Nothobranchius furzeri: one gene and its partner. The protein of the gene in region 1 purifies or fractionates together with the protein of each later gene. This does not show direct contact. Links are inferred from orthologs where the notes say so. Each region holds a gene or a part of one and is shown on either strand. Other genes may lie near its edges. The genes, in order: nphp1 and nphp4.

Evidence for each region.
Region 2: the proteins of nphp1 (region 1) and nphp4 purify together in Homo sapiens (co-immunoprecipitation; 6 studies listed by BioGRID and IntAct, with this or other methods). This does not show direct contact. The link is inferred for Nothobranchius furzeri from reciprocal best matches to the Homo sapiens genes NPHP1 and NPHP4.

Annotation. Positions count from the first base shown.
Region 1 is NC_091752.1:27,154,129-27,157,953, forward strand, and holds part of nphp1 (nephrocystin-1), read left to right. Parts: intron 1-138; coding exon 139-240; intron 241-428; coding exon 429-556; intron 557-751; coding exon 752-791; intron 792-882; coding exon 883-967; intron 968-3,825. UniProt on the Homo sapiens protein: Together with BCAR1 it may play a role in the control of epithelial cell polarity. Involved in the organization of apical junctions in kidney cells together with NPHP4 and RPGRIP1L/NPHP8. Does not seem to be strictly required for ciliogenesis.
Region 2 is NC_091755.1:34,971,247-34,975,071, forward strand, and holds part of nphp4 (nephrocystin-4), read left to right. Parts: intron 1-1,516; coding exon 1,517-1,746; intron 1,747-3,825. UniProt on the Homo sapiens protein: Involved in the organization of apical junctions; the function is proposed to implicate a NPHP1-4-8 module. Does not seem to be strictly required for ciliogenesis. Required for building functional cilia.

The DNA of each region.
Region 1 (3,825 bases):
AAAAAAAAGAAGTCTGAGAGACTTATTATTAAAATAATATGCCTCCTTAGGTGCCTTCTAATGTGTAAGGGTCATGAAACCTGTTTCCTACTCTTTTATCTCTATTGAGTCCTGGTTCGTTATATTTTCTTCTTTCAGAAGGGGGAGGTGTTGACAATAATTAAGAAGACAGCAGACGGATGGTGGCTGGCTCAGGACAAAAAAGGCAACAAAGGAGTGGTCCCAAAAACCTTCTTACAGGTACAGTATCAAATGTTTCAGCATCACAATCCATTCGTACAGATATTAAGCTAAAGATCTTATTATAAAACATTACCAATGATATTCATCTAAAATCTCATGTGGCTGTAAATACAGGGAGAGGTCAGTGTCTCTTCTTTTTTAAACAAACAGAATTCTAAACAATTTGATTTCACCCTGTGTATTAGCCTGGCTCTCGTGTTGGTGATGAGGATGATGACGAAGAGGACAGTGATGAAGAGGATGATGAAGATGAGTTAGAGGAGAAGGAAGAGGAAGTTAGGGAAGAAGTGGCTGATGGTCGAGACAGAATGAGGTTTTTTTTTCGTTTCAAGTGAAATATTCAGCATCTGGATTGTTTTACTTACAAAAACAAAAAGCGATAGTTTAAACTTATTTATTTATTTTATATATGATTTATTTATAATTTTTTTAATGTGTTTAAATAAAAAAATTTTACATTGCATTTGATTGGAATGTATTTATTTTTCTTATTTTTCTTTGGCAACAGAGCTTCCAACTGGTCGACAGTCAGAAAGGCTCTGACTCAGGTAAAACTGAACACCTGTCTCTTTAAATGATGAAGTAAAATCTTACATAATCTAAAGGGTTTCCCCCGATGGTCTTCTCTGTGTGAAACAGATTGATACCACAGATGTGCTGTCAGCTATGGGAGCCATACCATCGGGATTCAGGCCATCAACTCTTAGTAAACTGCTGGAGGAAGGTCAGTTTGCTGCAGGAGTGTGGAGTTTTGAACCTACTAGTTGATGCTGAAAATGGCGTAACTCCGTAACAAGTCTCAAAACAACTTGCAGGTGGACAAAATATTTTCATTGGTTAAATATTTATTTACTCTCATTTGGTGGTTTTGAAAATCCTTTAGCCAAAAACAGACCAATACAAAAGTATAATATCTGTTTTACATTCGTTTTGTTTGATCCGTTAAATTCCATTGCTTGGTTCTTATCTAAACAGCGCAGTAAAGATCTGTTTTTAACTTTTAGGCTGACAAGTTTCGGCTAATGCTGCGGCCTTCCTCAGAGCACCGCAGATGTTGGTGGGGTCACTTCCTTCTTCGTTAATCCGTTTAAGAAATGGAGAAGGAAGTGACGCCACGGACATCGGTGGAGCTCTGAGGAAGGCTACAGCGTTAGCCGAAACTTGTCAGCTTAAAAATGAATGAAAAATACACGATACTCAATTAAGCATCATCCTCTAGAATGAACCCTCACATTTCATGTATCTGGATGTTTCATGCTTTAAATATTAGGTTGTAAGAACCTTAGTACACTGTAAACCCGGTTTAGTTGAGTTTACTAAACATTCCTGTTCCCCTCGAACCATGCAAGTTTTACAAAATGCTGAAAGTAAACAGATTTAGTTCAACTAACATGGACGGCCGTTAGTCTCTTCTAAAAATGATTAATTCAATTAAGTATTTTTTTAAATACTTAAGTGAATTAATTAAAAAAAAATTTAATACTTAAGTTGTTTGAAATAACTACAGGTGCTGGCCAGTAAATTAGAATATCATCAAAAGGTTGAAAATATTTCAGTAATTCCATTCAAAACGTGAAACTTGTACATTATATTCATGCAATGCACACAGACCAATGTATTTCCGATGTTTATTACGTTTAATTTTGATATTTATAGGTGACAACCAATGAAAACATCAAATCTGGTATCTCAGAAAATTAGAATATTCTAAAGGCCAATGAAAAAATGTTTGTTTCTCTAATGTTGGCCAACTGAAAAGAATGAACATGAAAAGAATGTGCATGTATAGCACTCAATACTTAGTCGGGGCTCCTTTTGCCTCAATAACTGCAGTAATGCGGCGTGGCATGGACTCGATCAGTCTGTGGCACTGCTCAGGTGTTATGAGAGCCCAGGTTGCTCTGATAGTCGTCTTCAGCTCCTCTGCATTGTTGGGTCTAGCGTATTGCATCCTCCGCTTCACAATACCCCATAGATTTTCTATGGGGTTAAGGTCAGGCGAGTTTGCTGGCCAATCAAGGACAGGGATACCATGGTCCTTGAACCAGGTGCTGGTGGTTTTGGCACTGTGTGCAGGTGCCAAGTCCTGTTGAAAGGTGAAGTCTGCATCCCCATAAAGTTGGTCAGCAGCAGGAAGCATGAAGTGCTCTAAAACTTCCTGGTAGACGGCTGCATTGACCCTGGACCTCAGGAAACAGAGTGGGCCAACACCGGCAGATGACATGGCACCCCACACCATCACTGACGGTGGAAACTTTACACTGGACCTCATGCAACGTGGATTCTGTGCTTCTCCGCTCTTCCTCCAGACTCTGGGTCCTTGATTTCCAAAGGAAATGCAGAACTTGCTTTCATCAGAAAACATAACTTTGGACCACTCAGCATCAGTCCAGTCCTTTTTGTCCTTGGCCCAGGCGAGACGCTTCTTGCGCTGTTTCTTGTTCAAGAGTGGCTTGACACACGGAATGCGACACCTGAATCCCATGTCTTTCATGAGTCTCCTCGTGGTGGTTCTTGAAGCGCTGACTCCAGCTGCAGTCCACTCTTTGTGGATCTCCCCCACATTTTTGAATGGGTTTGTCGTCACAATTCTCTGCAGGGTGCGGTTATCCCTAGAGCTTGTACACTTTTTTCTACCACATTTTTTCCGTCCCTTCGCCTGTCTGTTAATGTGCTTGGACACAGAGCTCTGCGAACAGCCAGCTTCTTTAGCAATCACCTTTTGTGTCTTGCCCTCCTTGTGCAAGGTGTCAATGATTGTCTTTTGGACAGCTGTTAAGTCAGAAGTCTTCCCCATGATTGTGGTGCCTTCAAAACAAGACTGAGGGACCTTTTAAAGGCCTTTGCAGGTGTTTTGAGTAAATCAGCTGATTAGAGTGCCAGCAGGTGTCTTCTATATTCAGCCTTTTCAGAATATTCTAATTTTTTGAGATACCAAATTTGGAGTTTTCATTAGTTGTCACTTATGAATATCAAATTTAAATGTAATGAACATTGGAAATACATTGGTCTGTGTGCATTGCATGAATATAATGTACAAGTTTCACGTTTTGAATGGAATTACTGAAATATTTTCAACCTTTTGATGATATTCTAATTTACTGGCCAGCACCTGTATATTAAAGTGACTGTGTGTATTTTTCCTGGCTACAGGGGGCAGTAGATACCTAAATCGTTGCAAGCAAGCAGTATTTTTGTGTTGGAGTAAGACCTTACCAATGGATGATCATTAGAGTCAAAAAGCCCTGGGGAGTGCAAACCTTAGCAAAATAACAAGCACATCAGACTCCCTTTCATCACTGGCAACAAGTGGAGGTAAATGTGTAAAACAACAACATTTAACAATGATGAAAGTTTTGCAACCATCTGTTACAAATAAGTAAATGTATTTTGTCCTCATGGGCTCCCGTAGAAGGAAACATGGCATCTAATACGGCGTTGCCCAGATACTTAAACCCGCTCCCATGTATTTTAGACCTGATTTAAAGAGACAATATATAGTTTTTAACCATTAATCTCTGGAAATATCCATCAAAATTTTGTTGAAAAGGAATGAAACAATGCCCAGTTGTTAAAAAATAA
Region 2 (3,825 bases), on another chromosome or scaffold:
ACACTATCAGGTTAGCTCACTGGCAGTCAACCCAGTTCCTCCTTGATAAGGAGTCTTGCGGGGTGGGGGTGGGGGGGTGTCTTGGGACAAAGAGTCATCAAAGGAGTGGAAAACAGAAAGACAAGCAGATATGGTAGAGCGCAACAGAGTTTATGTATAAGCTCAAGTCTGAGACGTGTACTCAGGCGGGTTAGTGACCACAGTGGTGCATTCGTCATAATCGAGTCAGATTATTTTAAGTCACTAATAATTACAGAGATGGTTTTGCCATCTGATGCTCTCTACTGAACCTTCAGCTGACACCTAATTACCATTTAGTAGCCATTTTTCATCATCTATGTCCCCCTTAGCGTTTAGAAACATACGTACAAAGAAAGACGATGAATACTTTTCCAGACCATTTCATTAGAAATTCCTCATTGGAGGTGTGCCTTTTCATGGGTGCGTTTGATGAAACTGATTTTCATGTGTTATGTTGTTTGTGACTTATGACAAGGTTATCAAGTATGCGTCTCAGGCTTCAATAGTTCTCATGTACTTAGAACAAAGCGAGATGGTGGCGTCATTTTGTCCATCTTTTTGTAGCGTCCTAGGATTGACCCCATTCTTCTGTCAGAGATTGTCCCACCCGCCTTGCCTGCTGGTGGTGGTCAAAGGGACTTGATCTGTTTTAACATTTCCAACATTGTTTTTATATTCATATGTGATTTAAAATAAAAAGAATTGACAGCTGAAGAAGGCTCAAAACCATTAACAGGAAATGTGAGGTCACATTGATTTAGGACACAAAAACAAACAAAATGCACACTTAGATTGGCATCAATAAATCAGCTGCAAATGAAAACCTCAAGAGAAAGCAAACACACCTTTAGAGATGTAACTTTTGTGTAGAACAGCGTAGAAGTGGGTTATAGCACAAGAAGGGTTTGCAGAGAAGTGTAGAAAACTGATGAGGGATCAGCAGAGGTCTGATGTCTGGTGTAAAGCAAACACAGCAGGTAAAGTTCCTAAAGAGCTAAAATAAAACACCACTTACATCTCATCTCTCTCAAATCAAATCAAATCACTTTTATTGTCACGTCACATGTGCAGGTATACTGGTACAGTACATGCGAGTGAAATTCTTGTGTGCGAGCTTCACTGCAACAGAGTTGTGCAAAAATACAGTAACGTAAAAACAAGCTAAATATAAAAATGGCTAATCTAAGTAATAATATGTATAGTATGAAAGGTTAATAAATGTGTGTGCTAGTATTTTATTTTATTTTATTTTCTGTCCCCATATATGGATCTACTTCTTGATTTTTTTCCGCCTGCCTCATTTAATTTTTGGATTCATGGCTCCTTTCAGCAAGTTCTGGTTAATTCCCTCCATTGCTGCAACGTGGGTTTTAAAACATGGCTGCAAACTAAAGTAGTGAAGTTTTGAGCTGCACTCAGATACAAACGGAGTGCATTACATGTACATTATGTAACATTACTTAATATTTAAGACTAGAGTTTTTTTTCTGCTTAGGGAATAAATTCTTCATGGTGGCCTCGGTCTATTTCACAGCCGGCAACACCGCACAAGTACACAGGCTGAAGATGGATGAAGATCACATGCGGTTGTACAGAGACAGGATCAGAGCGGATGCTGTCATCCCTGAAGAGCTAAACCTAAACTCGCAGCGCCGGAAGCTGGAGTGCATGGCTGCCGTGCGTCGACGAGAGGCCAAGGAAAATTCTGAAGCAGCTGAATCTTTGGTGAGGTCAAACTATGATCTAAAAACACAAATATGCTTGTGTCAAACTTATATTTTGACAATTTTTAGCTGTTTTGCTGTCTAAAATGGATAAATACTTACTGTTTTACAGCAGCAGAAATCTGAGATCATAAATTGAGTTTAACTCTCAAACATTTTCTACAAAACCCACCGTTATTACAACTCCCAAAACCCTGCAGGTGTTTGCGCCGCACAAAGAGAAATGAATAATTCCTCTTCCTAGAAGAACTTTCCTCTCACCTTTGGGTCACGTGTTAAATGTCATTTTGGCAGCAGTGCAGGTGTGCCTTTAACATTTTACACCAAACGTTTCTTCTGGGAAGACCCGTGTTTTAGTAATTTCACAGCTCTGTGATGGCCAATTCTGTGTGGGATAAAGCTGCTCACGCAGAAACAAGGCCGTTACACTAGCTCTAAAAATCAATTTGGCTTTTATTTTTACTGATTGATAACCACAACTTTATTTGAAACAGTCTCATGCTCAGCGGTTTCACTGGCTCTAGCTGTGTGGATAATCTGAGTAGAATTTTCTTATACACTCGACTTTCTGCTCTCACATTTTAAATTACATTTAAAGGAGCAATTTCTGAGAATTCTACAGTGAAATAATCTCAAAACACTGTAATGTTTTAATCATGTTGGAAGGAAGGTTACATGGAAACAGATTTATTTATTTATTTATTTATTCAAAAAAAAAAAAAACTAAAGAGGGACGTAGTTACTGTTTACCGTTAGTGAGCCTGTGAGGTTGCAGAGTTAACTTTGCATAGCCAGTTTTTGTGATTCAACACCAGCAGGTAACAAGCTCCAGAGTTAAAGAACTGAAGCCAGTATGTCAGAGCGACCCAGAAGTTATTTCTTGTACCCCTAAGAATTAGAAGCCAGTACTCGGCTCTAAAAACATCTCAAGCTACCTTTTCAATTACCAACAGCTTGATGTTACAGTGAAGTGAATCATGAGTCAATCGTGGCTTTTTACTTCCTTTAACAAGTCATTCAGAACTAGTTTCTAGCTAAAAGCAAGTCAGCAAATAACCACACTTCCTCTAATACCAGAGGCATATTACCGTAATAATTGTAGTATGTGTTCCCTACCGAAAAACACCCAATAGTGCTAACACCAGATATAAAAATGTATGTAATGGATTACAGGCTTGTCTTTAAGACATAAAAAATTGGATGACTCAAAACTTTTTGCTTTTAAATCAAGACAAGATGGAAGTTCTCATCTTTGGACCTGAAATTCAGAAAAGGAAATTGCTTAGTCAATCACCTGACCTGAATGGCATTAAATTAGTCTCCGAGAACAAAGTAAGGAACCTTGGTGTTATCTTCAACCAGGGCATGTCATTCAAATCCCACGTTAAACAGGTTTGTAGGATTTCCTTTTTCCACCTTTGGAATATTGCTAAGATTAGAAGCATCCTTTCCAGGAGAAATGCTGAAAAACTAGTTCATGCATTTATTACATCAAGACTGGATTACTGTAATTTATTACTCTCAGGAAGTCCACAGAATGTAGTTAAAAGTCTTCAGCTTGTCCAAAATGCTGCAGCTAGAGTTTTGATGAGAATTAAAAAGAGAGGTCATATCTCTCCTGTCTTAGCTTCCCTACATTGGCTGCCTGTTAAATTCAGAATAGATTTTAAGATCCTGCTTCTCACATATAAAGCTCTTCCTCCATCATACATCAGTGATCTGATTGTTCCATATGTTCCTAACCGAGCACTTCACTCTCAGATTGCAGGTTTACTGGAGTTCTCAGAATTTCTAAAAATAGGATAGGAAGCAGATCTTTTAGTTATCAGGCTCCTCTTTTGTGGAACCAGCTCCCAGCTTTAGTCCGTGAGGCAGACACCTTGTCTACTTTTAAGACTAGGCATAAAACATTTTTATTTGATAGGGCCTATGGTCTGATGTTAGCCTAAATCTGGACAAGTGGGGGAGTAAAGGGAGGTGGAGTGTACAGTATGTAAAGATGGCTCTCCCTTGCCCTGCCTCCAACATGCCTCCATCTAAATAGGATAGATTATCCAGAGTTATCTATGTAGTTATGCTG